Diceros bicornis minor: one gene and its partners. The protein of the gene in region 3 interacts with the protein of the main gene of each other region in a biochemical or structural test. Links are inferred from orthologs where the notes say so. Each region holds a gene or a part of one and is shown on either strand. Other genes may lie near its edges. The genes, in order: AHR, PTGES3, HSP90AA1 and HIF1A.

Evidence for each region.
Region 1: the proteins of HSP90AA1 (region 3) and AHR form a complex in vitro, tested with the Homo sapiens proteins (2 studies listed by BioGRID). The link is inferred for Diceros bicornis minor from reciprocal best matches to the Homo sapiens genes HSP90AA1 and AHR.
Region 2: the proteins of HSP90AA1 (region 3) and PTGES3 form a complex in vitro, tested with the Homo sapiens proteins (10 studies listed by BioGRID). The link is inferred for Diceros bicornis minor from reciprocal best matches to the Homo sapiens genes HSP90AA1 and PTGES3.
Region 4: the proteins of HSP90AA1 (region 3) and HIF1A form a complex in vitro, tested with the Homo sapiens proteins (4 studies listed by BioGRID and IntAct, with this or other methods). The link is inferred for Diceros bicornis minor from reciprocal best matches to the Homo sapiens genes HSP90AA1 and HIF1A.

Annotation. Positions count from the first base shown.
Region 1 is NC_080742.1:43,514,944-43,522,428, forward strand, and holds the start of AHR (aryl hydrocarbon receptor), read left to right. Parts: upstream 1-4,394; 5' UTR 4,395-4,987; coding exon 4,988-5,052; intron 5,053-7,485. UniProt on the Homo sapiens protein: Ligand-activated transcription factor that enables cells to adapt to changing conditions by sensing compounds from the environment, diet, microbiome and cellular metabolism, and which plays important roles in development, immunity and cancer.
Region 2 is NC_080756.1:12,197,152-12,204,748, forward strand, and holds the start of PTGES3 (prostaglandin E synthase 3), read left to right. Parts: upstream 1-4,211; 5' UTR 4,212-4,226; coding exon 4,227-4,234; intron 4,235-7,597. UniProt on the Homo sapiens protein: Cytosolic prostaglandin synthase that catalyzes the oxidoreduction of prostaglandin endoperoxide H2 (PGH2) to prostaglandin E2 (PGE2).
Region 3 is NC_080763.1:46,926,056-46,934,146, reverse strand, and holds the start of HSP90AA1 (heat shock protein HSP 90-alpha), read left to right. Parts: upstream 1-4,888; 5' UTR 4,889-4,982; intron 4,983-5,536; coding exon 5,537-5,698; intron 5,699-5,790; coding exon 5,791-6,157; intron 6,158-6,520; coding exon 6,521-6,654; intron 6,655-6,968; coding exon 6,969-7,289; intron 7,290-7,506; coding exon 7,507-7,672; intron 7,673-7,859; coding exon 7,860-8,050; intron 8,051-8,091. UniProt on the Homo sapiens protein: Molecular chaperone that promotes the maturation, structural maintenance and proper regulation of specific target proteins involved for instance in cell cycle control and signal transduction.
Region 4 is NC_080763.1:11,158,440-11,166,593, forward strand, and holds the start of HIF1A (hypoxia-inducible factor 1-alpha), read left to right. Parts: upstream 1-4,911; 5' UTR 4,912-5,180; coding exon 5,181-5,215; intron 5,216-8,154.

The DNA of each region.
Region 1 (7,485 bases), on a different chromosome or scaffold from region 3:
ACTGTGACACAATAGGGTTAGCATTTATTTTAGTTATTTTCCTTTATTCTAAGACAGCTGCTATGTATAATAACATTCCTAAAACTTATTTCTTTTTCTCATAATATTTAGCAGGAAAAAGAAACCCATAGAAATATAGCTGCATCTGAAACCTCAGAAAGTCATCTCACCTAAACTAAATAAAAGGATAATGGTGCTTTGGATTAGGCAGTCAAATATTAATAAACTCTTATATGCAAACCAATTGTTATAAGAAAAAATCACGTTATTATATAAAAATGGCTCATGGAAAATTTAAAAATTTTAGCAATGGCAACAAAACATACTTTGAGAACCATGTCCTACAGTGGTGATATTAGAAGTAGAAGTGATAGTTTCTAAAAGTGGCAACTCATTCTTTTTTTTTTTTTAATTGCATTATACTACAAAGACTGATTTTATTGACATACTAAGCAAAAATTTTAAGGGCAGTGGATGGTGTCACTATTAAAATGAAATGAATTCTGAAAGTCTTGTTGATACTCTTATTTCAATCTTGGTATACAAAGATCAGTTACTAAACTGATTGTAATACAGTATAGCATGATATGATTTCTGGATAATGAAAATGGTCCTAAAGTCAAAAAGAAAATAAAGGTATGGAAGTAGGACAAAATAAGACAGAGAATGATTGTACCAAAGAACTAACAACCTTAAAAAGGTGGACATTTTTAAAAAACACTAAATTAAGATTGATTATTGGGATTTAGTACATTTAGTATATCCTTTTTCTGAAAAGGAGCTTTAAACTACAGAATCAATAAATTATGTTTTGATATGCATTTTTCACCCTTAAAGTTCCTATGCTAGAAGGAAATTACTTGTTTACACTATACATTTTAGATAGAACAGCTATGAATAATAATACAGAGATGAGGAAATAAAAGAGAAGATAAGATAGAGTTGGTTGACTCTGTGCCCCCAGAACTGCTAATCCATCCACAGCAAACTCTCCTGTATGCACTGTCTTCTTTGCTCCATCTTTTGCCTTAAACTGAAAGCTGGCTCTCCCTGAGGGTGTCATCTCCAAAATGGTTCCTAATTATTTTTCCTCATCACCTAGTTCTCTGTTGCCACTTCCTGCATCACTTTCACTTTATAGTCTTGTAAAATTAAAATAAAACAAAACCCATCAACCACAAAACACACCTGCTCCTTTGTAGGTCATGCTAGAATACTCTCTTCATCACATCTCCTTCATCTTTCTGATTCAAAATTACCAGCCCACTACATCTTACCCACCATCCTCTTTTCCTCTAGCTTCTGTAGAGTAGTGCTCCTCAAACTTCACGTACATTTGAATCAACTGGGAGATCTTGTTAAATTCAGATTCTGACTCAGTAAGGACACCCAGAGGTTCTGCATTTCCTATAACTCTCATGAGAAGCTAAGGACACTGTGAACAGTAAAGCACTACATAAACTCTGTCTGGTATTATCTAATCTGCTATAATCCTAATTCCCCTTTTCTTTTTTGGCCCTCGTTCTCTCTTGCCTTTACCATTTTTAATATCTATTGTTCCCTTACTATTCTTTGTCTTTCTTACACAGCCAATCTCAATCCGTCTCCTCTCTTTCTCAACTGCTTAAGTATCATCCATTAAAAACAACAAACCCTAATTTAACACTTTACTCCCCCTAGCTACCATTCTAGGTCTCTCCCTTTCACAGCCAAACTTTAAAAAAAAAAGAATTGTCTGCGCTTGCTGATGTCATTTCTTCATCTCCAATTCAATTCTGCATCCACTTCAATCTGACTTGCAATCCACTAGCCCACTAATATAGTGTTCACTAAAGTCACCAATGACCTCGTGTTGAGAAGCCAAAAGACATTTTCAATTCTCATCATATTTGAAACTCTCAACAACACTCAATAATGTGAACCACTCCCAACATTTTTCCACTTTGTCCTCTACGACACAATAGTGCCCTCACTTTCCTGTTACCATTCGAGCAACTCTTTTTCATTCAGTTTTACAGGACCATCATCTTCTATTCAGCTATTGGATACTACATATTGAAATTCTCTGGGTCCCAGTCTTTCTCTGGTATATATTTGCACCCTACAACCTCCACTCTCTCATGTCACCTAAATGCAAATGATTTCTGAATTTATATCTCCAGTTCATACATCTTCTTTGAGTTACAAACATGTATATCCTATGGCCTACCTGACATCTTCTCTTAGCTATCTCAAAGGTACTTCAACCCTAAGAGATCCAAAGCTAAATTAATAATTTCCCACCAGTACGTGCCATTATCACATAGCCAGATACATAGTTGAGAACACTATTATGATGTTTTTGACACATCCTCTTCCCTCACTGTCATATATCCACTCTATCTCCCAAGACTTTCCCAATATCTATGGAATCTATTAATTTTCTCCATCTCCACCATCACATCCATCCTAGTGTCAATAATGTCATCTCTTGGCTGGATTACTGCAGATGGTTTCCTGAGGAGTATTACTTCCATCCATTCCGCTCTGTTCCTGCCTCTTTGATCTGTTCTATACCCTGCAGATATGGTGATATTTTTGAAACGCAAATTTGATCATTTGTGCCCTTCTCCTCTGCTCATACTGAACTTGTTTTAGTCCCTCATACCTACCAGGCTCCTTCCCACTAAAGGGACGTTGCTTGTACTGTTTCATTGAGTTGGAATGGTCTTCCCCTGCTTTCTCCCAGCTAACCCTACTTTATCCTTCAGACCTCAGCTCAATCAACATTTTGGGGGGAAAGCCCATATTTGCCTCAATGAGTAGGTCAATTTATCCACTAGAAGATCATACTGAGTTGTGTACTTCTCCATTACAGTATTTCCTGAGAGCATAGGACATTTCTGTTTGTGTTCACCATTGTCTCCCCAGTACTAGCATAATTCCTGGCACATAGGAGTCACCCCCAAATCTTTTTTGATTGAATTAATGTGTGGAGGGGATAATATTAGCTTAGGAATCCTACATGGTATGGCATTTGAGCTAGGCACTGTCTGCTATTATTGAAGAATAAAGTTGAGGGAAATGAATTAGGGATATTGTAAAGAACAAAATTTAATAGTATTTGCCGGAATATTTACATATAAGTGGTAGGCGAGTTGAACATGATTCATAGGTTGATCTGGAGAACGGCGGAGCCAATGACAAAGTTTCAGCTAAAGCATATGACGAGCTTAATGTATTGATGCACTGAAGTTGAGGTAACAAATTTACCAGGTGGAAACAGCTTGAAGACATTTTAAAACGTAGGAATGGATATGGTGTGAGATGTCATCTAGGTATCTTAATCTGGATGCCCTTCTGCTCCTGACAAGCAGACTCCTCTGTGTTTACTATCCTGGTTAACAGCACAGAAAGAGTCAGAAATCCTAGAGCCGTTTGAGACTGCTCTTTCTCTTCCCCTATTTTCTTATCCTTTTCTATCATCATCTGAATTTTCTTTCTTCTCTCCATCCCCACTGCCACTTCCCCGGACTTACACCCGGACTATTTCAACCGTAATGAAATAGTACAACGACCTAAGTACGGTCTCTGCATCCATCTCCCGTATTCCAGTTTGCACTTTCCTCCCAGAGGGACTTTTCCAAGACACCAGAATGTCACTTTTCTGCTATCTTTAAAAGGCTTCCAATGCCTACAGAATAAAATCCAGACTCTTTATCAAGGCTTTATGGTTTGAGCCTAGAATTTCGGAACTTCGCCTCCAGCTCCTCTGTCCAACCATAGCAGACTGCTTATTATCCCCAAATGCCTTGTGCTTCCCTTCTTCCTCGTTTCCTTCCTTTCAACTTTATTGAAATCTGACTACAGAATAACAAAGTTATTCTGGCTAAGGAAAAGATGTTATATTGTTTAGGATGGAGACACACACACACACACAAAAAGCCAAGGAAACTCCTAGCCTTCATGTTTTAACTCAGATGTGGCCTCCTGAAGCCTTTCCCTCTAGGAAAATTTAGAGTTCCACTGGTTATCCACCAGCTCACTGCAATCCTTCGCCAAAGGTTAGCTGAGTCACTGTCTCTCATATAGGTGAAGTTAAGCTCACTATTTGGCATGTCTATCCTTGAGATAGTCTAGCTACAAAGAGTTCGGCTACAATACGCAATTTGTTGTCACACCTCTTTCTGGGCTGCAAATCTGGCCACAGAATTCCACCCCTCGACCTCAAGAAGATGGCTACTGGGGGGCGTCGTTACGCCTTACGTCATCACGTACAGGGAAGGTGGGGCCCTCAAGGAAGATGGAATGGAAGGGCGGGGCCAAGTAGGACGGGGCGGGGCCACGAGGGGCTGGGCGGGGCCGGAGACGGGTTGGGGGCGCTTCTGCTATTCAGCCGGTGCGCGCGGCGGCGGGAGGCAGCCCCTGGCGGGTGCACTCGACGTTCCGTCCCGGGAGCGTGCCCAGGACCAGCGGCTCAGACCTAGGGCAGCTGCGTAGCAGAGCGGAAGCTGGTGGCACCGGAGTGGCGGTCGGAGTCCGAGCTCCGCGGGCGGGAAGCACCCAGGATCTGGGAAGCCCCAGGAGCAGCGCGGCGGCGCCTCCCTTACCCGAGGGGCCGCGGCGACGGTCACGGGGCGCGGCGCCACCGCGCGCGACCCAGGCCGGGATTCCAAACAGGCAGCCCAGCCTCCTCCTCCGCCCGGGCCGCCTCACCTGCGGCCAGCGCCGCGCCGCCTCCGCCGGTGTAGAGGACACCTGCGCCACCTCGCGCGCCGGTCTCCGCCCCCGCCCCCCGGCGCCAGGCCCGGGCGGCGCACCTGGACGCGCGGGGCTGCGGGTGCCGAGGAGCGAGGACGCGGCGTCCTCGCTGCCGTCCGGGGAGGACGCAGGTGGAGCAGCGGGAGCGGCTTCGTGGAACCCCGCGCCCGCTGCCGCCGTCGTCCAGGTCGCCGCTGGCTCCCGGGGAGTGGGCCGTCCGAGCCGGGGAGGAGCCGCCGCCGGCACCATGAACAGCAGCAGCGCCAACATCACCTACGCCAGTCGCAAGCGGCGGAAGCCAGTGCAGAAAACGTGAGTGTCCGGAGCGCGTCCTCGGCGCGGGGGTGTGCGCTGTGGCACGCGGGTGCGGGAGGTGGCCGCACCCCGCCCCCAAATCCCCGCGGTCCCGGGATTAGGTCCATTCCTGACACAGTCCGTGGAATCGAGATTTGGAGGCCGGTCGAAAGACTCAGGCCTTGGATTTTCCTTTTTTAATTATTGCATTTTAAAAATTGTGCCCCGTGTCCCCAGCGCACCCTCTCGCACCTCCACCCCTTTGCAGCTCTGTTCTCTCTTCCGTGGTCCTAATTTGTTGACAGCTCTGGTCTGCTGTGTGGGGCTGGTGGATTAGTTAACCTAAATCCGCCTTGAAATCCCTTTCCACTTTTAATATCCTCATCGGTTAGGTTAGAGGACGGTCATAATTCTCATTCCTGGTAGGGCGAGATGTTTTAAAGATCTAAACACGTGCTGTCTGCAAGAAAGTGGCTGAGTGCCTCTGAGGGTATTTTTTGGTCCGGTGCACCTGGCTTCTGTTGGGCTCTTATTTGACAGTAATTTTGTAGCGCTCAACGTGACCATATCGGTAAAATGTATAGAGGTGGTAGCAGGTATGAGTGAGTGTAGTGGACAGGATACAGTGAGGGATTTGTGTTTTCAGCCACCTTTTGGAGGAGCTTTCTTATCACTTTGGGGATGGTTTTAGGGTCGTAAAGAAAAAGATTTGGAACTGGAATTACTGAAACAGACGTTTTCATTCTTAACATCTTTCTCTAATTTCCTTTTCCCCCACTGCAAAGTTTTGTCGATTCTAATAGAATGGTTACAAACTTAGATTTTCTGTTTGTTTTGGTGGGCTATTTATGTGAGATGACAAATACTTTAAAATAATTTTTTTTCAGAAAAAAAAATCTATGCTTGAGACAGATTTACTTTTAATTGGCTTTATTCATGTGTTTATTCCTAATTATCTCTGAGACACTTTATTTCACATTTTTCAAATTTTCATAAACAATTTTAAGAACACCTTAAAGCTTTACTCAGAGCAAATCAGAAGTGTGCATTTTGGTTAAAACTTAACTTAGGTCACTAATCCAAACCGGAAAAATAAGAGTTTAAGATTTATATTTAAAACCAGTAACTTGGTTTAAAAGTTTCATTATTCTGGAGTTTTAATTTCCATTTAGAATTTCAATGATCATAGTTCTTCAGATCTAGACTTGGCATTAACAGAGGATATTCGTCTATAAATAGACTGATTAAAATTTGGAAGTCTTATCCTGCAGTGTGGCTAACATTAGGAATACTGCCGAGTCAGCAATTTTCTGTCTTGCCTGTTCTGTGACATTGGTTTACCATACTTGTATTTCGTAGAGTGGTTTCTTACATAAAAATGTATTTGTCTAATTCTGTGACACTGGTTTACAATACTTGCATTTTGTAGAGTGGTTTCTTATATAAAAATGTGTTTGTCTAATCTGACTTTAACCTTGATGGTTATTAAAATTGAGAGGCGTTCCAAATGCATGTCCTGTGTAATTACTAATACAGTAGCATAAATATAAAGAGGTATCATGGGTTTTTATGTGTATGGTCATAAAACTTGAATATCTCTTTGATGGATTTTTAAGTTACTGAGTTTTAGTCAGTGTGTTACAAAAGGACCTAGATGACTTTTTTAAGAAAAATCAAATACTTTAATTTTGTATTCATTATAAAGTTTAACATTTTTGGCTCCTAGTTAACATTTCATTAAAGATCTTCCCTTTAAACATATTACATTTTCTTTTATTTATATAAGATGTACCTTTTATTATTTTATCTTAACATTTTAATATACTTTCTAAGACTTTAATAGTTTGTATTTAATAATCTCTTGTACTACAACTAAAGCATTTTCCATGTTTACTCTCATTTTATTTTATTCAGTTAGTATAGATGTTTATCAGATCTTTACTGAGCGCCATGCATTGCTTCTAATCATGTAAATGCCTTAAAATATCACTGCCCTGCTCCATAAGGAACGCCTATTGCTGCTATTTGCAGAATCACTTGAAATTGTTTATCAGTTGTTTTTACCTGGATGAAAAATGGTTAACTTTATAATGCAGTTAATCAAAGTTTATTTTAGGAATGTGACCATTAAACTCAATATTAAGTTTAATATGAATTTTTTAAATTACTACCTTGGAGCTAATGGGGTCTAAAATATGCCAACGTTGTCAGAAAAATACATCTTGTTTGAGCTGAAAATGCTATTCAGATGTGGTTAACTTTGACCTCTTAAGTGATAGCCATTTTATTTTACTTAAAGAGAAGATATATTGTAGTATAATTATAGAACTGTTAATAAAATGGCCATTTAAATATATAATTCCATAAAATTTTGGAATCAAGTAGGTGACATAATTTTACCCTGAAGTTCTTCCAGTCTTCTGTTGAATTATATTACACAAGATAAACTCC
Region 2 (7,597 bases), on a different chromosome or scaffold from region 3:
CAATAATGGCATCAGATAACATGAAGTAATTTAAGTTGCTATACATGATGTTTACATTTAGCTAGGTCATGATGTTTCCCTTAAACTTTATGACCAATTTCTTATTCCCTACACCTAGAACAGATTACTACTTTACCCCCTTTCCCTTTATTTGCCTTACAAATACAAAATTAACAACCTGTAAGTTCTTTATCTTATTAGAAAATCCTCTCATAAAACCAGTCTGTTCTCATCTGTTATTATTTAAAAAAATATTTTTAATTGCACATGTAAATCTATAAAGTTCTGTTTTGCTGTTAGTGACTATGGACACATATTTAAATTCAGTCCTCAGAAAATATCGGAAGGTTGATGCTACAATTATAACCGACAAATTGTTTCTGCATTCTTTTTACTACTGTTAGTATTAAACTTGTGAAATGGGCATCTACTACTTGCCAGGTATTTTCTAGTTTATGCCAATTTGGGTTGCAGATTTCTCTCCCAAAAGCCCTAACACTGTAACTATACATGTTTGAATCTAGAAAGAGAACTTGTTAGTGAATTCGAAAAAGGAACCTGGTACAACTTGGGTCCCCACCAGCTAATGGTTGAGATAACATGTAAAGGGATGGATAAACCTGATTACAAACTATTTGTGAAACGTCTGAGTGAGAAGCCATTTCCAGAGCTACACTAACATGAAATCCCTTGAAATACGTCTGACGGGGGAAGTAAATAAACTATGAAGTAGGATGCAACGGATTTGAATTTTCAAAAATTTCTTGTGTGGAAGGCAGTTTTTCCCACAGCACTTATTTAGATAAGGGAAACTGCCAGTTATTTGGAGTTGCAGTCTTCTAAACGCTATCTTCAATTCAGTTCCTCCATTTCTAGTTCACCTTATACATTGTTACCAAATTAATCTTTCTAGAACACAAGTGTTACTGCCCTTCAAAAAACTTCAACAGCTTCCCACTGTCAGAGAAATAAGTTGAAAACAATTAGCCTGGTATTCAATGCCACCATTACTTGGTTGTGACCTACCATCTAAACCTTATTTTGAATCATTCCTCTATACTCTGGACTACCTAGGCCAGGGGTTGGCAAACTACAGCCTGCAGACCAAACCCAGCAGGCTGCCAGTTTTTGTATGGCCTTCCAGGTAAAAATGATTTTTACATTTTTAAAGGGTTGGAAAAGAATATCGTGTGACATGTAAACATAAGAAATTCAAGTTTCAGCATTCTTAGTGTTTTTTTTTTTTAACACAGCCACTCTCATTTTTTACATATTTTCTATGGTTGATTTCATGCTGCAACAGCAGAGTTCAGAAGTTGCAATAGAGACCTTATGGCCTTATCTGACCCTGCACAGAAAGTTTGCCAATGCCTGATCTAGATGTACTTCTATTTCTTTCTTTCTTTTTTTTCTGTGTGTGAGGAAGATCAGCCCTGAGCTAACATCCATGCCAATCCTCCTCTTTGTTTGCTGAGGAAGACTGGCCCTGAGCTAACATCCCTGCCGATCTTCCTCCACTTTATGTGGGACGCTGCCACAGCATGGCCTTACAAGCAGTGCGTCAGTGCTCGCCTGGGACCTGAACCCAGGGCGCCAGCGTGTGCACTTAACAGCCACGCCACGGGGCCTGCCCCTATACTTCTATTTCTCTCTCTTCACCTATCTAGAGTCCTGCCTGGAATGTACTATTCCCACTCATTCCTGCTGTCACCTCTATGAGGCTGTCAAAGAATTTTCAAAAAATTTACAAACATGATTCTCCCACAAATATAAAATTAACACGAGCCAAACATTTATTGAACTCACTGACGGAACCAGTAAGACGGTAAAACTGGTTGCAGGCGTATTTAAGGAGCTAAGTATTTAGAGCCACAAAAATAAAAATTACAATAAGGTTGAAGGTTAAACAAAAATACTGTCCTACACAGCAATAAAACTGTAACTTTGGGGTTAGCTTTTCTATCAATCAGAAATCTACAGCGTTACAAGTAACTTACAATGTTTGAGCTCTAATCATTTAATAAATAGCAAAGCCAAACACAGGTACCTTCTCCCAGAGAATAATGCTTAGACAGGCAAGTTAAAACACGTCCCAGTATGAACTGCAAGGCCATCCCTCCAGGCCTTGCCTTATTTCCATGTTTTGGGTAACTTTTAACAAGGCCTATCCTAATCCTTCCAGTCAATGTGGACCTCTCCTCCTTTTATGCTCCCATCACTTTTTGTACTTCCATTATAGCACTCAGTTATCTGCATTTGCGAATTTTATTTTCCCCAACAGGCAGTAGGCTCCTTAGAATCACAGTATTTAAGAGCTGAGATTTAACCTTCCTTTTTCACGGGATTTGAGCATAGGGCCCAGGGTTGCAGTTCTCAATACCTGCCTTGCCCCGCACAGATACTTAAGTCCTTAATGCCGAATATGCAGCCTCCACTCTTTCCAAAATGTCTCAGGGCACTTTCCTTACACCTCCTTTGGGTTCTAACGGGCGGTGCACTGGTGTTTCTCCCTTACTCCACTGTTTAGTGGCCTTCTAGAGTAGGCAGGTACTGTTTGGATTCTCTTGGTTACTATCTCCCATTAGAGCCTAACCCAGTGCCTTGCACAAAGCACCAGTTCAAGAGACAAAGGTTGAAACAGATGGGGGACTCTCTCCCCAACTGATGTAGCTGGAGACACCGAGTGTCCTAGCCTCTCCATTCACATGACCTTCCTGTCTCACCTACAGCACTAATACCTCAAAGCAGGGGGAAATGCCCGCCCCAAATGGCAAACATTCCTCCTCAGCCAAAGACCTCAAATTTCCGCTGCCCCTGGACACGGTCTCCAACCCTCAGAGAAACGGCGAGGTGGACTAGGCCCTGGATTCTGAAGTCAGCCCTTTCCGCAACTATCACCAGCACCGCTTTTCGCATCTTTTGGCGGTGGAATGTTTCCTCGGTGGGCTGGTTTACTTCCTCAAGACTAACCAGTCCTCCCTTTCACTTTTCAAGCCTCCCGACTCTGCGTCTCTCCGCCTCAGCTCGCCTCCCCCGGAGACGGCCCCCGGCGCGTGGCCCCATAGCGGTGCGGCCAACGGTTTTCCGACGCGAGGGGGGAGCGCAGGAGCAGAGGCGGGAACGAGTCGGGCGGGAGAGAGCGGACGTAAGGCGGGGCCAACGCCGGGAAGGATCGCGAAGGAGCTGGGAGGCCCCGCCCTTTCCGTAGATATCTCTAGAAAGCCGCGCAGGAAACCAAAAACAAAGAGTGCGCACGCGCGGCGGTAGGGCCCGGGCATTTTGCTGCGTCACCAGCCGCCGCCCGGCCTCACCACCCCTCGCTCGCACGCACGCACGTTCATTCTCCGTCCTCGCGCCCCTTTTCCTACAGTTTCCTCTTCTCCCCGACCGGAGGAGCCGCTCTCTCCGCGCGGTGCATTCTGGGGACCCGGGTCGAGCCCGCCGCCGCCGTCGCCTGAGGGAAGCGAGAAGAGGCCGCGACGAGGAGAAAACGCCGGAGTCGCCACCGGAGAGGAGCCGACTGCCCACCAGCTGCCGCCGGAGAGGCCCGCCCATCCGTGCGCCCGTCCCCCTGCCCCGTTCGCGATGTGAGTGCGCCACCCCTCCGAGGGAAGGTCGCCCCGGAGGGAGGCCGAGGCCGTGCTGGGGGCTGTCGGGAAGCCGCCTCCCCCTACCCCGCTCTTGGCCCCTTCGGCTCTCTCCCCTCAGTGGTGGCAGTCGTTCCTCCCCGGGGTTGGAGGTCCAGGACCCTGTTCCGGGTATCGTGGCGGGTGGAGGACATTTTCCTCCAGATGTTCGCTTTCCCCTTTGGGCAGTCCGCGTTGTCCGTAACTGTCCCTAACTAGTCTCTGGCCTTCGTCTCCCGCGAGCTTTGGGCCATGTGGGCGCCCTGGAGGTGGGGGCCCTCGTGGATTGCCGCTTGGCATCCTGGGCCGTGCGGTTCGGCCGCGCTGTTGTCTGGGACCAGGCCGTGGGCCAGTGCACCTGTGGTGGGTGCTCCCAGAAGCTGGGGGTGCTCCTCGGAGGGCCCCATGCGGCCTCCGCCGAGAAGCGACAGGCACTGCTAGGCAACTGGAGGAGGCCGCGCCGGCGCCACCACTTACTTCCCTCTCGGGTGTCGGGATTTCTTGAGCGTGGGTCTTTCCAGGCCTCCCCATAACTCTAGTCCCTTTAAGGGGCTGAAGGTTACCAAAACGCAGCTTTGTCCCTGGCAGCCAGGAGCTACCATGAGCAGGTAGTTGTGCACGTGTCGAGTCCAGAGATACTTGTGGACATTTTCTGTGTTCTTTGTTAACAGGCGAGGTTTCATTATCCTATCCTAATTTAAGGTTGAAATAGGTATGTGATTGCCTCCTTGTTGTCTTGAAGAGCTTAAATTTGTTTTTGTGGAGGTGACCACACATTTTTTAGCGATCTTTAGTTTTTATTATGGTAAAGGAAAACCTCGGTGATTTTAACCGACTAAGAATTCTTGGCACTGCCACTTCCAGGTCTTACATTCTTCTCAGGAAAAGCTTTTACGTTTTCAGGTGTGTGAACTGCCGGTTTTATAGTTTTTGGGACTAACTGCTCTCTAAAGGTTACGTATGGAGAGCAATTGAAGGGGAGCAGTTTTTATTCCTATAAAAAGTAATGCACTTTCAAGGGTTTATGTAATTAATGACATTAACGGTGAGTATGTTGGATTAGACATTTAAATGGTAAAGGATACACTATAGCCAGTTGACGACGGGGAACAAGCCTCGGGAGGAAAGCATGTGTTACTGTAAAGGGAATTTATTAGAATTTTGGAAGGATTTTTTTCCCCCATAGGTGATATCTAATAGAAGATTTTAATTTATGTAAAATAGCTTTTGCTTTTCCCTTTGAAATCTCTATTCCAAATAATGTAGCAGGATTGTCGGTCTTAAAGTATCTATGAGAAGAAGATGAATTCTCAGATAAAGCGTTACCAACTTTTAATAGACTAATGTAGCCAAACAAAATATCTTTTCGTTAAGAAATACCATGTTTAATACGGTTTGAAATAGAAAAACTCTAGGGAGGTCACATAAAATAGTTAGATAGGAAACCTTAACTAAATAGATTAAAAGATGAAAAGTGTAACAATATTCCAAAAAGCACTGTCTCTACGTAAAGAATGCTACTTTCAAAATGAGTGTTTTGAAGAGATCAGATAAATCTCATCCTCTTTAAAATAGTCAATATATGCAATTTTGCAAATTGTTTAGGATATCTTATTGAACTAATAAAATGAATGAATTTACAAGATGAATATTATGAGTTATTTGAATTGGGAAAAACTTTTAATGGGTCATCCAGTCCCAGGAAGAATCCACTGATAAGGGTTCATTTTGTTGATGTCTGCTATAAACATTTTTCTAGTTGTGGAAATAGACATTTATGCTGGAAATCTTAAGGGTTTTAGGGTCTGGTTTTTTTTTTGTTTTTTTTTTTTTGAATGCTCTGTAGTAGTGATTTCCTGGGTAAATTTCTTTTAATCACGTTTTTAAAGTTTTGTATAGTAGCATACATGAAAGCTCTCAATCTCTCACCTACCTTGGAGAAGGCTGGAATTTTAGGACCTCCCTCCCCCATTTAAGACCTGCGCAAACCCCCTGCAGGGGGTGCTCATTTGCTTTTTTTTAAATTAGCGATTGTAGTTGGTTTTAAGTTGGACCCATTGACAGTGGGTATAAAGTAAAATGTTTTATTTAGTTTTGAGCTATTTGAAGTCATTCTTTTTGGTGTCCTGTACTTAAACTAATAAATTGTCCAGAACTATACCATGACTATTTCTAACGTTGATTAAAATCTTATTTACTTTGCCATCACTCAGCTTTGTAGGATTGGGACCCGAAAGTAAAATCATCAATGTTTTGTTTCCAGAACAAATTGTAATAGTGAGCATGGGGTATATGGTTAATTTCTAAAAGCTAAGGAAAAGTAACTGATCATGGTCTTTGTTCAGTGTTGACTTCCTAACGACTGTAATCTGGCAACTGGATTTTCTTTTTTTCTATGTTTAGTTAGACTTTAACTAGAAGGCAGTAGAAACTGGAAGTGACAAATCACCTGAGTGCAGACCAGTATGTATTGTTAATTAAGATTCTTCTGTTTAATTGTATTTTCTCAGTTTTGAAATCTAGAAGCTATATCATTTTGGGGTCTTAAGTGGCTTGTGATTGTAGCTTTTCAGAAAAAAATACCTTTGTAATATCAACTGTTTTAGAATCAATCTAGCTCTTAAACGCTTAAGATCCTATTTTATCTGAGTTCTTAAATTGAGAATTGTTGCATCTAGTGTAGTTTGCTACAAAAATACAAAGTGTGTTGTAGTAAACTTTTTGTAATTTACTGTATAGATTGGCAGTGATAGATTTTAAATTGAGGCTGACTTCCCCAGGACACCTTTGAACTTTTGATTTTTCCAGGAAGATGCCAATTACTTGAAACCCTACCTTGAGCAGTATACTCAATTTCATGTTGTATCCCACAGCCAAATAAAATGTGCTGTTGTGGATTTTCTGTGCAATAGTTGATCTTCACATGTAGCTATACTTTATTGCCGGAAAGTTTATGTCGGGGCCCTTTCCACCTTAGCATGTTTAATTATCGTTGTGTACTGAAAGGATCTAAGTTACAGACAGGTGTTTAAAATTTTTAATTTTATTAGATTCTAGGATCTAGTTATTCAAATATCAATTCACATAGCACCAATTAGTATAAAGGGCTGTCTCAAATAGAATTGGAACCCAGGATTTCTGACAGAAGGCTTATTTTTTTCTACTTAACAAAAAGGGAGAATAATTTTCAGGTGGTCCTTTTGTGTGTGTGTGTGTGTGTGTGTGTGTGTGTGTGAGGAAGATCAGCCCTGAGCTAACATCCGATGCCAATCCTCCTCTTTTTGCTGAGGAAGACTGGTCCTGGACTAACATCCGTGCCCATCTTCCTCCACTTTATATGGGACGCTGCCACAGCATGGTTTAACAAGCTGTGTGTAGGTGCGCGCCAGGGATCCGAACCGGCGAACCCCGGGCCGCCACAGCGGAGCGTGCACTTAACCGCTGCGCCACAGGGCCGGCCCCTCAGGTGGTCCTTTAATTTCCAAATAAAGAATCATGTCTCTGTAGTTCATTTTTATTTATTATCTAAACTACTGTTTCTGTTAAAACCTGTGCCACTTCTTGACATATGGTAACGGAGCCCTGAGGCTATGAAATTTGTCTGTAATGGAGGCAGTGAGAGATTGACCTCGTTTGAGTTTTATACGTATGAAGAAAAAAATTTTTTTGTGTGAGGAAGGATAGTCCTGAGGTAATACCTGTTGCCAATCCTTGTCTTTTTTGCTGAGGAGTATTGGCCCTGGTCTAACATCTGCTGCCAGTCTTTTTCTACTTTATGTGGGATGCCTCCACTGCATGGCTTGATGAGCGCTGTGTAGGTCTGTGCCCAGGATCTGATCCTGGGAACCCCAGGCCACCAGGAGCAGCACGTGCGAACTTAACTATTACACCACCGGGCCCGGCCCCGGCCAAGTTATTTTATCTGCTTTGGGCATGTTAAAAGGTTATATGTACAAAAGAGGGAATTTGGG
Region 3 (8,091 bases):
CCCTTCCCTCGCTCACAGAGTTCATCATTTCCTTTGGGGCCCTGCCCTCAGCCGTCCCCTTCCCCCTCAAGCAGGGAGCCTAAGACCAGCAGATGGGCACAAGTGCAGGACAGCATCACGGTGGTTCAATGGCTGCCAGCGCAGGTCACCCTATCTCCCATCCTCCATCAAGAGAACAACAGCGAGTCCATCCACTGAGAGCTCACTGTGTGCCAGGCACAACAGGCTTCCCTGGGATTAGTTCACGGCATCCTCCCACATCCTTACTATGATCATCCCTACTGTGAAGATGAGAAGACTGAAGCACAGAGAGGTTGAGTAGCTTGCTCAAAGTCACACAGCCAGTGAGTGGCAGGGTTGACACTCACAATCCAGCTGAAGATCTCTACTTTAACCCACACCATCCTCCTCCGAGTCAACTGTGCCTCTTTCCAAAGTATGTACCACTTAATTTTCCTATATAGTTATAACTGGATTCTGAATATTTCTCCAAGGTCTTTGCTAAACATCAATTGTTTTAAAAACAGCTTTACGAGGTATAATTGACATGCAATAAACTGCACACGTTTAAAGTACAACTTGCTATGTTTCAACATACACTTACACCTGTGAGACCATCACTGCACTCGAGATAGCGAACACACTCATCACCCAGTGTCCTCGTGCCCCTCGAAATCCCTTCCTCCCGCTCCTGTCAGCCCTGCCTCCCACAGGCAACCCCTGATCGCCTTCTGTCACTATTAATTAGTTTGCATTTTGTAAAATTTTATATAAATTACTGGCATCTTTCCCTCAGCATAATTATTTTGCATACAGAACATGTACCAAGATAGACCATATTCTGAACCATAAAACAAAATAAAAATGAAAAGACTAAAATCATGCAAAGTATGTTTTCTAACCACAATGCAATTAAATATTAGAAATCAATAACAAAAAGATATCTGGAGGGCCTCCAAATATTTAGAAACTAACACACTTATAAATTACCCATGGGTCAAAGAAGAAATCAAAAGGCAAATGAGGAAGTTTTCTGTTTACTTTAATAAACATGTATATAGCAGTTACCTGGGACAGTTCCAAACACAGAATGAGCTCAGTTAAGCCTCATAACCATATGAGGAAGACATTTTCATACCCATTTTACAGATGCTGAAGCAGAGGCACAGAGAGAAGAAGTGACTTGCCTGGTCACACAGGTAGGCAGTGGCAGAGCTGGGATTTGAATCCAGGCCCTGGATCCAGAGTCTGGGCCTTGTATCCTAGCTTACTGGGAGGACACTGAAAGATTTCAAATGCAGGAGGAAAACTGTCAGATTCCCCTGACAGCAAGATCACTTTGGGACAAGTTCAACAAATATTTAGGAGCTAAATCTGTAGGACTTAGAGATATATTAGAAATACAGAGTTGAGGAGGCAGGGTAGAAAAGGAAGAGAGTTGGGGGTAGGAGAGCAGGGTTTGGAAGGCTCGATGATGTGGATGAGCAGGTGTGGTTCATGCCAAGAGGAAGAGATGCCCACATCCTGAGAGCCTGTTCATATCAAGGGATCCACTCGGGCCAAGTGGGAAGGGAAATGGAGGTGGGAAGAGGTCCCTGAGGAAATGTGTGAGCTGAGGGTCCACTAGGACATTAAATAGGAGAAAAAGAGAGAGAATGCTGTTCCAGGCCGAAGGAACAGCATTTGCACAGCCCTGTGGCGGTAGATCACGGTGTGAGGTGTACAAAGAAGAGTGACAGGGAGCACGGTGGGACCCGAGGATGAACGGGTAGGTAGGGGCACCCTGCAGGGCCTGGCAGGCCTGGTTAAGAAGCTCTTTTTCTCCTAGGAGTGATGGGGTGTTAGCAAGTGTTTGAGGAGTGTGTGGAGGAGGGGACTGACAGGGTCAGATCTGTGTTCTCACAGCGCCCCTTGGCAACAGGCGGGAGGCAGACCAGAGCAGACTCAGGAAGCAGTCAGCTGGCTATGGAGGTCTTCCAGGTGAGCTGATGGTTGTGTGGGCAGGGGTGAAGGCCCGGGGGGGGGGGGGGGGGATATGAGGATGGAGAGAAGTGGATGGATTCATAAAGTATTTAGGAAGCAGAAGTGGCAGGGCTCACGTCAGATTCCCTACGGGGTGTTTGGGGTTCTAGAAGGTCGTGGGATAGTCACCTGGCTAGTGAGCCCTAGAAGGCCAGAGAGGTGGGGGAAGTGAGCTCAGCAACCAGGTCTGGAGCTAGAAGAGTCCTGGCTGGGGCTTTTCTGTGCATCATCCGCACATAGGTACTCTCCCAGGAGCTCCAGCAACAGGCCAGGGAGAGGGGGCGAGTCTGGAGGAGAGAGAGGAGCAGCCAGCGCCCGGAGGGAAACCACAGCATGCTGATGGTGGAACCAAGGCAGAGGTGGAACCAAGGCAGAGGTCTCAAGGAGGGCAGTGGTGGTTAGTGTGGAATGTTACCCAGAGGTCACGGGGGACCAAAAACGTCCTTGTACTTAGTAACTGAGGCGGGCAGGGCAGGGGAGAGCGGGAGGACAAGATTTGGAATAAGGGAGGGATATTGTAGGCGGAGCTTCCTGGAAAACAAAGGTTCCAGGAGTAGCCTTGGGGCAAGTTCTCTGGAGGAGGGGGGAGGTGAAGGCCTTAGAAACCGAGAATTTCACAGCTGGGGCTTTGAATGGCTCATCTACAAGAAATCTTAAACCTCCTGGGCAATGGCGTAAGTGGGATAGAAAGGAAAAAGTGGGTCAGGCCTCCAAGTCTAGAAAAGAGGAGGGTGGCTGGTGGGCTACGGGTGGAGGCGCCCGCAGCGGTGGAGACCTTAAACAGCTGATGGTGGCCACAAGGAACCCACAGCACTACTGCCCCTCCCCCTCCTCCGCCCGCCCCCCAACCCCCCCAACCCCTCCCAACCCCCGCGCCGAGGCGTCCGGACACAGCTGGAGTCAGAAACACATTTTACGTGCCCCAACAAATGCATAACAACCCTCACCTACCCTTACCATGTGGCTTCTAGTTCCCATTCAATTTTTCCCATTTTAACGGTAGTCAGGACGCCCTACGTTATTTCACACACTCCCAGTGGGTCTCAGGCCCCAGTTTGAAAACCCCGTTCCTGGAAAAGCTGGGTTTCCCCAGGGACAAGGAAGTGGAGGCAGCGTTCAGTCAAGTCTGTTTACATCGTAAGGAGCTTCCAGATTGTTCCCGAAGGCTCGGTGTGTAGCGGGGGGGAGGGGGAGGAGGAGGAGGAGGAGGAGGACCAATGGTGGGAGGAGCTAGAGACAAAGGAGCCAGAGGAGGGCGGAGGGTTTCCGAGGGAAAGGCCGTGGGCGGGGCAGGGGTGCTCTGCGCGCTGGGCCTTAGTTTCTCCAAACGGGAAACACCCTGGATCTTGAGCTGGGCGATGACTAAGGACCCCTGTCCCTCTGAGACTTTTACAGCTTGGTCTGGCATTGTTCAAAACACTTAGAATTCCCATTTAGAAGGTGGCTTTGGGGGCAAGTTAATCACCCAACCCATGAATTAGATACTTCATATACAGATCTCATATTACGTAAAATAAGTAAAAAAGATGGGCTTTACAAAATCATGACGGGTGTAGCTAGGTGAACACGCATTTGTTCACCAAATCTCCGAACTCCAGACTAAGGGACCCTCAAAACGTGAAGGATGTAGTTTTATGGCAAACCGAAGGTAGATAGAAATCCCCAAGAGACTGAACAGACTGCGCACGGGTTTGGAGAATTTGCGATTGTGTAAGTGTCCATTTCAGCATTTCCTCCTGTGTAGGCGTAAGGACGGCACCAGCCCCGCAATTTGGGCAGTGGCCAGTGTTTGGGGCGGGGGGCGGACCCTCAGAAGTACCAGCTGGCGCTCCTCGCTCCCTGTCCCACTCGGCCTCAGAACCAGCTGCCTGGAGCCCCACGAGGTCCCGGCGGCTCCCCTTGTCCAAACGTGACTTCCACTTCCGTTGGGGGGGGGGGGGCTCCCATCTCATAAAGGCAGAAACCAAGGATCGGCCTTGCCTCCCCAAGCGCATGCCCTGGTCACCTCTCACAGCCCATCATGGACGGGCACCGCTGCACCCGCTAACCAGGCCAAGCGTCCCGGGCCTCCGCACATCGAGGCTCTCGCAGGGGCCTGTTGCCCGAATTCCAGGCCTCGGAACCCATAATCGCTGCCTAGGGCGAACAGATGCGGACCCGTACCCCTAAACCCGGCTCTGGACCCCCCAATCGCTACCCCGGGCCCTCAACTCCTAAACGTAGCCCTGAGCCTCTCTAATCACTGCCCTAGACGTATTAATGCGGCACCTGACCCCTCACCTCTGCCTCGAGCCCCTAAACAGGGCCACAAAGCCCTAAACCTGGCCCCGGGGCCCTGGTCGCTGGCACTGGACCCCTGACACTGCGCTGGCGGGCCCTCGTGCTGGGGGACCCGAAGCTTTCACAGCACCAGGACACTCTTTAAAAATTAAAAGTTGACTTGCGCGGATTTCATAAAAACACGAGCAGGGGCACTCAGCCCCTGACCACACTCCCCGGGCCTGCACGGCGCCGACGGCGAGGGACCGCTAGGGGTGCCGTTCAGCACGTCCGGGAGCGCGCAGGGCTGGGAGCGCGGGCTCAGGATTGAGCTGTCGGCACGGGGACAGGGCTGGTCCCCGAAAGCGCGAGACCTTCCCGAGAATTCCGGACCGCGCAGGCGCACTGAGGCGGGCGCGGCGGCGCGCGGCGGCCGTTGGGGGAGGGGCGCTCAGGCCGTTGCTGCGCGGGTCCGCGCGCGCCCGGGAGAGGGGCGGGCGGCGGCCAGGGCGCAGGCGCAGGCGCGCGGCCGCGGCGGCGGTTGGGGAGGGTGCTTCCGGAAGGTTCGGGAGGCTTCTGGAAAAGGCGCCGCGCGCTGGGCGGGCCCGCCTCTATATAAGGGAGGCGCGGGGGCGGCGCGCCAGTTGCTCTTGCGTCCTGGTGCTGCGTTGTCGCGGAACCCGTACGGTCCTTTAGCCGAGGTGAGGGGGTGGTTGGGGGGTCTCCGGGGAGGAAATGGGGTTCAGGGGACGGGCAGGCGGGCGCAGTCTGCGGGTGGCGGGGTTCGCTCCAGCCCTGGGAGCCCCCCGGCCCGCGGGCGTGGGGGCGGCCGTGGTTTCCTTTCCGAGGCCTCAGGCCTGCGGCGGCCCCGACCCTCCCGCCTCGGGAGCGGGCGCGGGTCGCCCGGACGCGCTGCAGGAGCGAAGGGGCTGCCGGGGGCGGCGCCTCCCGCGGCGGAGGGCCGTCCTCCCCGCCCGGGAAGGCGGCTCGCCCAGGCCGCCTCCGGCCGGCCCGCGGACCGGGGGCTTCGCGGTGGGGCCGGGACCCCCGGCTGCGGCCCAGTCGCCCGGCCTCGGGCCGCCTCGAGGCGCGCGCACGCTCCTGTGATCGCAGCGCGAAATGAGGTCATCCTTTGTCGGCCGGCCTCCTGCTTTCAGTTTTCCTCAATTGCGCTCTAAAAATACCTGAAGGCGGGTGAGGCTTGCGCCGCTGTCGCCGTCCTGCGGCGTGTAACGTGGCACGGTGTCCTTTCCAGATGCCCGAGGAAACCCAGACCCAAGACCAGCCGATGGAGGAGGAGGAGGTGGAGACGTTCGCCTTTCAGGCGGAAATTGCCCAGTTGATGTCATTGATCATCAACACTTTCTACTCGAATAAAGAGATATTTTTGAGGGAGCTTATTTCAAATTCATCAGATGTAAGTCTCATTACCGTAGAACTGGGTTTTGAGGTTTCGGTATTAACTTCACCATTTAGGGGCTCGGTGTTTAATGATCTGTTTTGTAATAGGCTTTGGACAAAATCAGGTATGAAAGCTTGACGGATCCCAGTAAACTAGACTCGGGGAAAGAGCTGCACATAAATCTCATTCCGAACAAGCAAGATCGAACCCTCACCATTGTGGATACCGGAATCGGAATGACCAAGGCCGATTTGATCAATAACCTTGGTACTATCGCCAAGTCTGGGACCAAAGCGTTCATGGAAGCTTTGCAGGCTGGTGCAGACATCTCTATGATTGGCCAGTTTGGTGTTGGGTTTTATTCTGCCTATTTGGTTGCTGAGAAGGTGACCGTGATCACCAAACATAACGATGATGAGCAGTATGCCTGGGAGTCTTCTGCGGGAGGATCGTTCACAGTCAGGACTGATACAGGTAGGCACCTGATAAAGCATTTCCTGGGTGAGCCAGTCACGTGGAGGGTGGGGTGCTGTAGGCGTGGGACCCCTGAGGATGCAGAGAAATTTGTGAAAACTTGTATCTGCTTGGTATAATAGGAGGCAAGCTGGTGAGCATGTGGTGGTGTAGTAGCGTGAGCTTGTGGTTCTGTATGGTGGGCAAAGCAGTTAACTAGTCTGGGACTCTTCCTATCTATAGTAACGGTAAACCACGTCTCCTGGACTTGTTCACAAATTGTTAGGTATGGTGTCCAGAGCTGAATTGATTGTATGTACTCTTTGTTTCCTTGGTTTGGCTGTTAAGATTGGAATTGAGTCAATTTCTCTATCTCCTTTTCAGGCGAACCAATGGGTCGTGGCACAAAGGTTATCCTGCATCTGAAAGAAGACCAAACAGAGTACTTAGAGGAAAGAAGAATAAAGGAGATTGTGAAGAAGCATTCTCAGTTTATTGGCTACCCCATTACACTGTTTGTGAGTTTGTGTGTATCCTGTATGTAGAAAACTATAAGTGATTTAACTGAAATCCTTACTCCTTAGATTTGCTGATAAGGAAAAGACCCAAACGTGTGTTTACTGGATTAGTCTGAATTCTTTTTAGTCTCACAAGGTACCAGGTACCCAGAGGTGTTAAGTTAGATCCATCAGATACTAATGAGGAGTTTCTTGGCTTCTTAATGTTTCCTAGCTTGGCTCACTAATTTAGGCTTTGGTATAAGCGTGCCCACTCCATTTCGCTTTTTTTAGTTCTGGAATGCAGAGGTGATGTGATTTTGTGTTTTTTGAAGGTGGAGAAGGAACGAGACAAAGAAGTCAGTGATGATGAGGCTGAAGAAAAGGAAGACAAAGAGGAGGAAAAAGAAAAAGAAGAAAAGGAATCAGAAGACAAGCCTGAAATAGAAGATGTTGGCTCTGATGAAGAAGAAGAAGAAAAGAAAGATGGTGACAAGAAGAAGAAGAAGAAGATCAAGGAGAAGTACATTGATCAGGAAGAGCTGAACAAAACAAAACCTATTTGGACCAGAAATCCTGATGATATTACTAACGAAGAGTATGGAGAATTCTATAAGAGCCTGACCAATGACTGGGAAGATCACTTGGCAGTGAAGGTGAGTCACTGCTGAGTGCTTCAAAGCTAGTCTACCTCTGCAAGTTGTTTCTCTGAAATCGTTAAGGGCTGTTGCTGGCAGCTTTTCCATCCCAGCCCCTATTCCCTCCCCGAAAGTGCTTTATGTTGTGTAATTAAGGTGTGTGTGTGTCAGGTTAAGCAGCTTTGAGTGAAAGTTGCTTGCACTGTGTGCTGATTTAGTGTGTATTTTATTACAGCATTTTTCAGTTGAAGGACAATTGGAATTCAGAGCCCTTCTTTTTGTCCCAAGACGTGCTCCTTTTGACCTGTTTGAAAACAGAAAGAAAAAGAACAACATTAAGTTGTATGTTCGCAGAGTCTTCATCATGGACAACTGTGAGGAGCTAATCCCTGAATATCTGAGTGAGTATGGTTGGGTATAAGGAATGATCACTGTCACTGGTTAAAGAATTTTATTCTGTCAACTCCAGATCTTCAGTATAATAAGCATGTGGGACGAAAAGTGGCTTATCTTTGGTTTTGGGGGTGTATTTCTTTGTGAATTTTTGTCCTTAGAATGATTGAGTGCATTTGGTCCTTATTTTTTCAGATTTCATTAGAGGTGTGGTGGACTCGGAGGATCTTCCTCTAAATATTTCCCGTGAGATGTTGCAACAAAGCAAGATTTTGAAAGTTATCAGAAAGAATTTGGTCAAAAAATGCTTAGAACTCTTCACTGAACTGGCAGAAGATAAAGAGAACTACAAAAAGTTTTACGAGCAGTTCTCTAAAAATATTAAGGTTGGTATAAACACATTCGATCATTAGTAGCTGTAGTCAGA
Region 4 (8,154 bases), about 36 Mb from region 3:
AGACATTCTTTCCTCAGCTGTGTCCAGTCTACTGATGAGCCCATCAAAAGCATTCTTCATGTCTGTTACATTGTTTTTTATTTCTAGCATTTTCTTTGGATTCTTCCTTAGAGTTTCCATATCTCTACTTACATTACCCATCTATTCTTCCACATTGTTCATTTTTTCCATTAGAGCCCTTAGCATATTAATCATAGTTATTTTAAATTCCTGGTCTGATAATTCTAAAATCTCTGCCATATCTGAGTCTGGTTCTGATGTTTGGTTTATTTCTTCAGATTGTGTTTTTGCCTTTTATTTTTTCAGAGGGGAAGAAAAGATCTTAGGAAACACTTCTCCACAGGTGAGCAGTATCTCAGCCAGGGATGGCAAATAGGTCTCAACACTTATACCGGCTGCTGGGGGAATCTTGAGAAATGAGGATATACCGGGGAGTAGTGGGAAACACTCTGAAGCAGGTTAACGTACCTACCATGGGGGCAGAAGGGTGATGGTGTGCCATTCACTTGCCATCTCTGTTCTAAGTCATAACGTGATTCAGAAGTACTTAACACTCTTCATGAACCTATTTAGCTGAGTGATTAGGTTAATGGCTGAAAGAGCGGACTGGTGTGGAAGATGAAGGGACTGCAGGATAATGAATTAGCTTCAAGGAAATACAGCAAGAAGCAAAAGCTCAACCATCCATCATCTTAGTCCGCTGCCCCCTCAGCTGGCTGGAGATGGGGCACAGTACCCCAAGCCCATGCTTTTTGCCTTTTAGCATGTCTTGTAATTTTTTTTGTTGAAAGCCAGACATGCTGTATCAGGTAAAAGGAACTTAGGAAGATAGGCCTTTACTATGAAGTTTTGTTTATCTGGCTAGGTGTTAGGCTGTGTTATTGTTTGCTGTAGCTGTGGTATCTAAGCTAAACTTTCCTCTAGGGTCCTTGTTTTTGTTTCTTTTGTTGTCTTTGGATGTCCCTAGTGACTCTTTAAATAGGGTCTGAGGCTTGCAGTTCCTTTAGCTGTAATCCCCCGTTATTATGTAGGAGCCCTACTGATGTGGTGTTCTGGTGAGGTGCGGGAGGAGGGGAAGCATTCTATAGTCTTATAATTATGTCTCAGTCTTCTAGCGAGCCTGAGTTGAGCATTTCCCTTCTCCCATGTTGAAGGCTATAGGGGGCTGGAATTGAGTGTTTTCCTTCCCCAAGGTGGGTTAGGCTCCGGTAAAATAGTTTCCCTTGAGGGCAGACCTGGTTCAGAAAAAGAGAGAGCTCTGGGAGTATTTCAAAAGGGTTAATTTTCCTTTCCCCCTGCAAAAAGCAAGAGGAGACGCTTCTCACATCTTCACAGTAAGACTCTGTTAGGGCTCCTAGAAGTAAAACTCAGGAAAGTTCTAGGGCCCCTCTACGGCTGAGCCCCCTTGGAGTTTTTAACTCTCAAGCTGGTCCAAACAGAGCCTCCAGCAATTCCTCAATTATAGTTGAATGCGTTCCTATTGATATTGGCTCCAACTGTGCTGTTGGCTTCAGCTGCTGGCTTTGGCTCCTGGTCAACTGTGATCCTTTGGTAAGCTGTGCTTCTTTATATCTGTCTGTCTCTCTAGTTTTCAGGTAGGAGTTTGTCCTGTGACCTCAGTTCTCTGATAGATTTAAGAAGAGTTGTTGGTTTTCAGTTTGTTCAGCTTTTTTCCTTATTGTAAGGATGGGAGCTCCCAAGCTCTTTGCATGTTGGACTAGAGACTGAAAATCTTTTGGCATTCCTTTGTAAATTTACTCTTAAAATGTCTATTATAATGGAAAAATGCTAGTGTCAAATTTTCAGTCTATTCTTATTCTCCAGAAACTCAGACAAATATACATATTTTGTTTTGATTTTTGAAAAAAGATTTTTAATGTCTATTCTAAGAACTTTCCAGACGATTGCTTTTTGTTGTTGTTGTTGTACAACAACAATAGGTTGTTGACAATAGGTCAAGGTGGTGGTGGAGGGACTAAGGGTACTAAAAGATCAAGAATCACTTATTGACCACCAGGTGTTCTTATATAGTTTGATACATTCTAAATTATCTGTTTCTGATGTGTTTCACTCTTTAAAAGGCTCAATGTTCTATACTATTTAGTAGTAATCCAAATTTCAAGTTTTATCTTGCTTCCTCCTGACTCACTGCCCAACTTCCTACTAAATATGGGTTAAGGGTCAATTGAGTCATTTGCAATAATCTTTCAGTCTACTTGCAAAGTTCTGCAAAGTGAGTTGGAATGAAATTTGAACACTTACAAAGATTAGAAGGCGATTGAATGAGACTCTTCATTAAGATTTATGTTCATTGTAATAACCTAAATGCATTTATTAATAGGTGGTTGTAAAGAGGATGATTTACAATTTTATCCCATAGAAAATTTTGTTTTTCAGAATTCTGTTATTTAACAGGATTGATTGAATTAAGGAATACTATTTGGCTCCTTCGTAATTATATGAAAACAAGCTGGTTGAATATTACCACTTTCCGTGTTCATATATGTATGTGTGTGTATACACATTTATACATACATATGTATACATATACACATAAAATACCATATTTTATACATTTCTGGAAAGGAAAATTGAACTTTGGGGTAAATTTAATGAACGTTCAAAAATATATTTTGCTGTTTGAATTATCCTTCTACTTTAAACTTTTGAAATGCTCAAAATTTTTTAAAAAATGACTTAGATTTGCTATTACAAAATGCTCATTTTTTAAATGTAACAAACACTAAAACAGAGAGAATTTCTTACAAGTAAATGACAAAGGAAATGATTGAAGATTTCTGCAACTGTGCTTGTGTAGGAGGGTGGGAACACCGTGGGCAGTTCCAAAGTTTAAAATAGGGAATATATGTGGATGTATATGAACATAATTGACATTTTTGGATAGCTAAAACTAGCTAACCTGTGGCAGAAGCCCAAGTAATTACTGCTAGCAGAGGCACAAATTTGGGGGTAATAATGATAAGAATAATGAAAACAAGACCACCAACAATACTAATGGCTAACAATTATTGATTGCTTACTATGTGTCAGGTATTGTTCTAAGTGCTTTACATGTACTATCTCATTTAATCATCCCATAATTCTGTGGCATAGACACAAGTGAGTAAACTGAAGCACAGAGAGGTTAAATGAATTAGTAAGTGTCAGAGCCTGTATTGCAAGCTCACTTTTGACTCTGGCACCAGTGTTCTTAACACTGAGTTTTCAGAATGTTAAACTAAAAGGTTTGTAATTTACGTTTATTCTTTCCACAATTAAAAAAGAAAACATGAGTAATTATTTTCGGTCCTTTCCTCTTTTCAGGCATTTTCTCCAGTACTTTTCAAGAATACATATCATTCAGCATTGTAGATCTGAAGAAAAAGTAGCATTAAGATCACTCTTTAACCATATCTTTATGGGTCTACAGACCAGTTACAGAGAGGTGCTATGTGAATCCGTTGTTGTCTTCTCAGAGTTTAATGCTATGTTATACAGACCATTGTGTTCACACACCAATATAATTGAAACCTACTACAGATATCCACATTAATTAATACACAACCCAAAGCCACATTGTAACAATATAACTAATAATGCAAAGGTGAGAAGCAAAATACTGTAATCTAGTGTCAAGTGGAGATATATGTGCAATGCTTCTTTGTTGAGCTCAAAACACATTCTTTATTCATTTAAAAGACTGACAGTCTTGAAATGTATGCTTCCAAAGCCAAAAAGTGATTGTCTTATCCAGCAGCTTGCAAAGTCATGTTAGCAAACAAGCAATACTGGCCGCCACCATAAAGTGTTAACTCGGGTTCAGCGTTCCCCTGCCCAGGTCTCAGCGAGGGGTTTGAAGAATCCTTCCTCTTTCCAGTCTACACAGTGAACTCAATTCAAGGTGGTAAGTCTCAATCAAGGGTCATCTTCCCCTTTTTTCCCATCCTTCTAAGATTATTTTCGGCTCTTTTAGAAGCAACAGGAAAGTAAAATAAAAGCCTATCTAAAGCTGTTTTTCCTACTCTTCCTCTGAAATTCAGGTTTATGCTCTTTTATTAAAGCCACTTATACCTATTTGTAAATGCTTAAAATAATTTCATATTTTAAGATTTCCTGCTACCTGCTTCCCTTGAGAGGTTTACAGCAAGAGGAGTTTGTTTATCTTTTTATTTGCATTTGTTCAGTAATCAAACTTCACAGAACAACTTAGTGGACAAGGAGGGTACTCTTGTGTTCTATGGCAGAATGTGGTCGGTGACATGGCCCGTGGCTGGGCGACCTGGCAAGAAAGACCCCATTGTAACACATCTGGGCAAAGGAACCAGAGTTCGCTGCCACGACGCGAAAAGTCTGTTTTTTTGAACTAGGACTCAGCAGAGCTGGCGGCAACCCTGTACAGCATAGCCGCCGAGGAAAAAGAGAGCAGGAGACTTGCCGCACCGAGCAGGAAACGTGATGCAGGCTTGGGACCCAGAAACCGAAATCTCTTCTCAGCAGCGCCTCCCAAAGCCAGCCACTGCCTTCCCAGGGAGAAGGCGCAGAGTCCCCAGACCCACGCTGGCCGCGCCCCCAGCTCTTCTCTTCCCTCCGCCGCTGCACACAGACGAGCACGTGAGCGCCGCGGCGCTTCCCAGCTGTGTCTCAGCTGACCGCCTCCTGATTGGCTGAGAGAGACGTGGGCTGGGGTGGGGACTGGCCGCCTGCGTCGTTCGCCATTGGCTCTCAAGGAACCCGCCTCCCCCTCAGGTGAGGCGGGCTTGCGTGAGCGCGCGCCGGGCTCCGCGGTCGGGCGCGCCCCCGACACACTACCCCCCCCCCCCGCGCGTGCGCCCCCGAGCGCGCCCCCGCCTTAGCCCGCCCCCTGCCGCTGCCTCAGCTCGTCAGAGCACAGAGCCGCTTCGTCCGAGGGGACGCGAGGATCGTCCTCGCCGCCGCTTCGGCCAACGCGTCGGGGTGGGCCCTGACGAGCAGCCCGAGGAAAGGCTCTTCTGAGCCGGACCGGGACCCTTGCGACTGCAGCCCGCTCCTCCTGCCTCTCGTCTCACGGAGGGTTTCCCGCCTCGCATCCCCCACCTCCGGCCGTGCCTCGCCATCTCTCCCGCGTGTGGAGGGAGCCAGCGCTTAGGCCGGAGCGAGCCTGGGGGCCGCCGGCCGGGAGGCATCGCGGGGCCCGAGTCGCCATGGAGGGCGCCGGCGGCGCGAACGACAAGAAAAAGTAAGCCCACTCCCTCCGCCCGCCGCGCTCCCCGCCGCCGCCCCCGCCCGCCCTCCGCCGCCGTCTCGGGCTGGCGGGCGGGCCTTGCGTTCCGGGGGGGGCCGCCTTTTTGTTTCTGCCTGCTCTCGCCTCTCCTCCCTCTCCCCCGGCCCCGCCGGCCCGGCTCCCCTGGCCGCGTCGCCATCTTGTCGTGGGGGGTGGGAGACGCGTCGAAAGTGCTTTCGGGGGCCGGGGGCTGAGCCCGCCCGGCCGCCCCGCCCGGCCGCGGGGCCTCGCGCCGCCCGCCCCCCCCCCCCCCCCCCCGCCTCAGACCCCGGCTCGCCGGCGCCCGATCCGGGTGGACTTCCCCGGCCTGGAAACCCCGGGCAGAGGAGCGAGCCCGGTGGCCGCGCTGCACCCGAGCTTCCGCTCTTCCCGCCCCCATCCTCTCCGGTTCCATTGAAAACTCGGCCCCGGGGCGGACCCTGCGCGCGGGTCCGGGCTTCCCGGAGGCGCCAGGCGCTGGGCTCCTGGCCCGGGGGCTCGTGCTGCGGCCCTGCGCTGGTCCAGCGCGGCCGGGGCTTGCCTTTGTGCGTTCGGGATTTGCCGCGGTGGCCTGAAGATGCTAACTTTTGAGTTTGCACGTGCAGGTTTGGTTTTGTTTTAATGGCCTTGAAAAACTTGCCTTGACTTAGAGGGGGAGTAACGGGAATTGAGAGAAACAGCAACATTTTAAAGAGAACATCAGAATTGGATACTTGTGTTTCTATCACCTGTCAAGAAAGCCCAGACGTTATAAATGAATAGATGCCTCATTCATTCTTGAAAATATTACGGTGAAAATGTAGCGGCTGGCTAAATTTGGGCAATCGTTGTTAATGACATTGGAAAAAAGGTATGTGATCAGAGCGTATGAAATGCAGCACTAAAATGTTGCAACATTTTTAGAACTGTCTCATTTTCCTGAAGTTGAAGTATATTAAAGGGAAACCTTCAAAATATATCCGCAGTAAATAATCATCGAGTTAGAACTTAATGCAAGTTTTTAAAACACTTTTAAGTTTGCGTCTGAGTGATACATTATAGGATTAAGAATTGTGAGTCGAACCGGTGGGGTTAAGAGTGATCCCCCTCCATCCCCCCACGTACAGTTGGGTCCACTTTGGTATTTTAACCTTTGAGGAAATCATTTTAAGTAATTGAAGATTTATAGTAAGAGTTGTGGTTAGTAGACTGGCTTTACTGTTAAGTCCTTCCACTCTTCTGGGAGAGATTAACTTCCCTAATCAGTATCAGCAGAAGATAAACTTGTTTATGTTCTTGCTATTTTGTAGATCCTTTTTTGGTTCTTATTCAATAGAATGATAAGTTCTCAGTTTATGTACACCAGAGAAAGCACTTATAAAATTCAAAAAGTGAGTAAACAGGTCTAGACTTAATTCCAAGAGTTGCCAGGAATTAATTTCAATTAATTTTGCAGAACTGATTACAGTACTTTTGATGAAATGATGAGGCTGCTGTATTGTAAACCTAAGACAGATTACCTCTTTGTAGTGCCAATTTTTTGTCCTTATATGCAGAATTATACTTAATACTATGCATCAAGTTACGCACCCGTCACTTCCTTTTTATATGCAATATTGTACTTATTTCTCCTTTGCAGTTCATCAGTTGAGACTATCAAAGGCAGCTTTAATAAAAATGAATTAATTAGCTGTTGTGCATCACTCTCAATTCTAAACTAGTTCTTAGATTTTTCCAGACTCATCTGTTATTTAAGGAATTTTCTCGTTTGGAAATTTAGCAAATTTGGATCAGATTGAATCATATTTCTTGATATAGATGTTCTTATAACTGAAAAATTAAGTTAATCACTTAATAAATGGTGGCTACTCAACTTTTAGACGCTATTTGTTAGAGATGTCTGGTTTTTATCCTTTTCTAACTAATAATTTTAAAACTTTTTGAAAAGATAACTGAGAGATTGAGGGGCAGGGATTTTTTCCTTACAATTTTTCCGTTTAAATGAGCCTTCCAGAGTCCAGATTATGTAGACAAATTTGTCTTTTTTGAAGGTCTAGAAACTCAAAAGCTGAAGGATTGGAAGAAATCAGAACAGAGGATAGGTATGGTTATAAGAGATAACATAGGGCCATTCATGTTGATTCCTTAGTAGTAGGGGCTGGACTTGTTTAACAGTACACTGATACAGATTTTTAGGTTTCAAAGAAATGTCATTGGTCTGTTTCAGGTTTCAGGCCAGACTCCTTCAAAGTTTTCCAAAACAAATAATTATTGGATCATTCAAGTAAAATGTCTGAGAATGAACATTCCTTAACTTCCTTCTTTAACTTTGGTCATTAAAAGTCAAGAAGCTCTCTCATTTTCTTAGTTGGAAGAGGAGCATGCCTGGTGGTTAAGAGCATAGGATCTGGAACCAGACACTTCTGAGTTAAGAGTCCATCATTTTCACTCTGTCAGCTTTGTGAGCTTGAGTAAGTTACTGAATGCTTTCTGAGCCTATTTCATCCTTTTGAAATGAGAATCATAGCCCCCATCGTAGCAGTCGTTGTGAAGATTAAATGAGATAATGCCCAGGACCTGGTTTAGGAGTCTTGGTAACACTGTGCACTTGAAAATAGGCATCACCTGTTAAAGTTCTAGTTTAAACTTCCACAACGCTTAAAAACTTTTTTGTAAATTCTTCCAAATATTTCTTTGTTTTAGATCCTCTTCTCCCACTTTCGTGCATTTTTTCTATACCTCCTAAAAATGAAAAGACTAACATTGGATCCAGAGCTTTAAAAGGAGTTCTTTCTGGTTAAAACAGTACATCTCTGAGTTGTGTTGGCATCTAGCATCAATTATTCTTCTTGAATATCTGATTTCCTGTGTACCCTAGGCCCCCATCGTCACACTACCTTACCCCTTTGTTTCCTCCCCAAATAGGTTACTTTGAA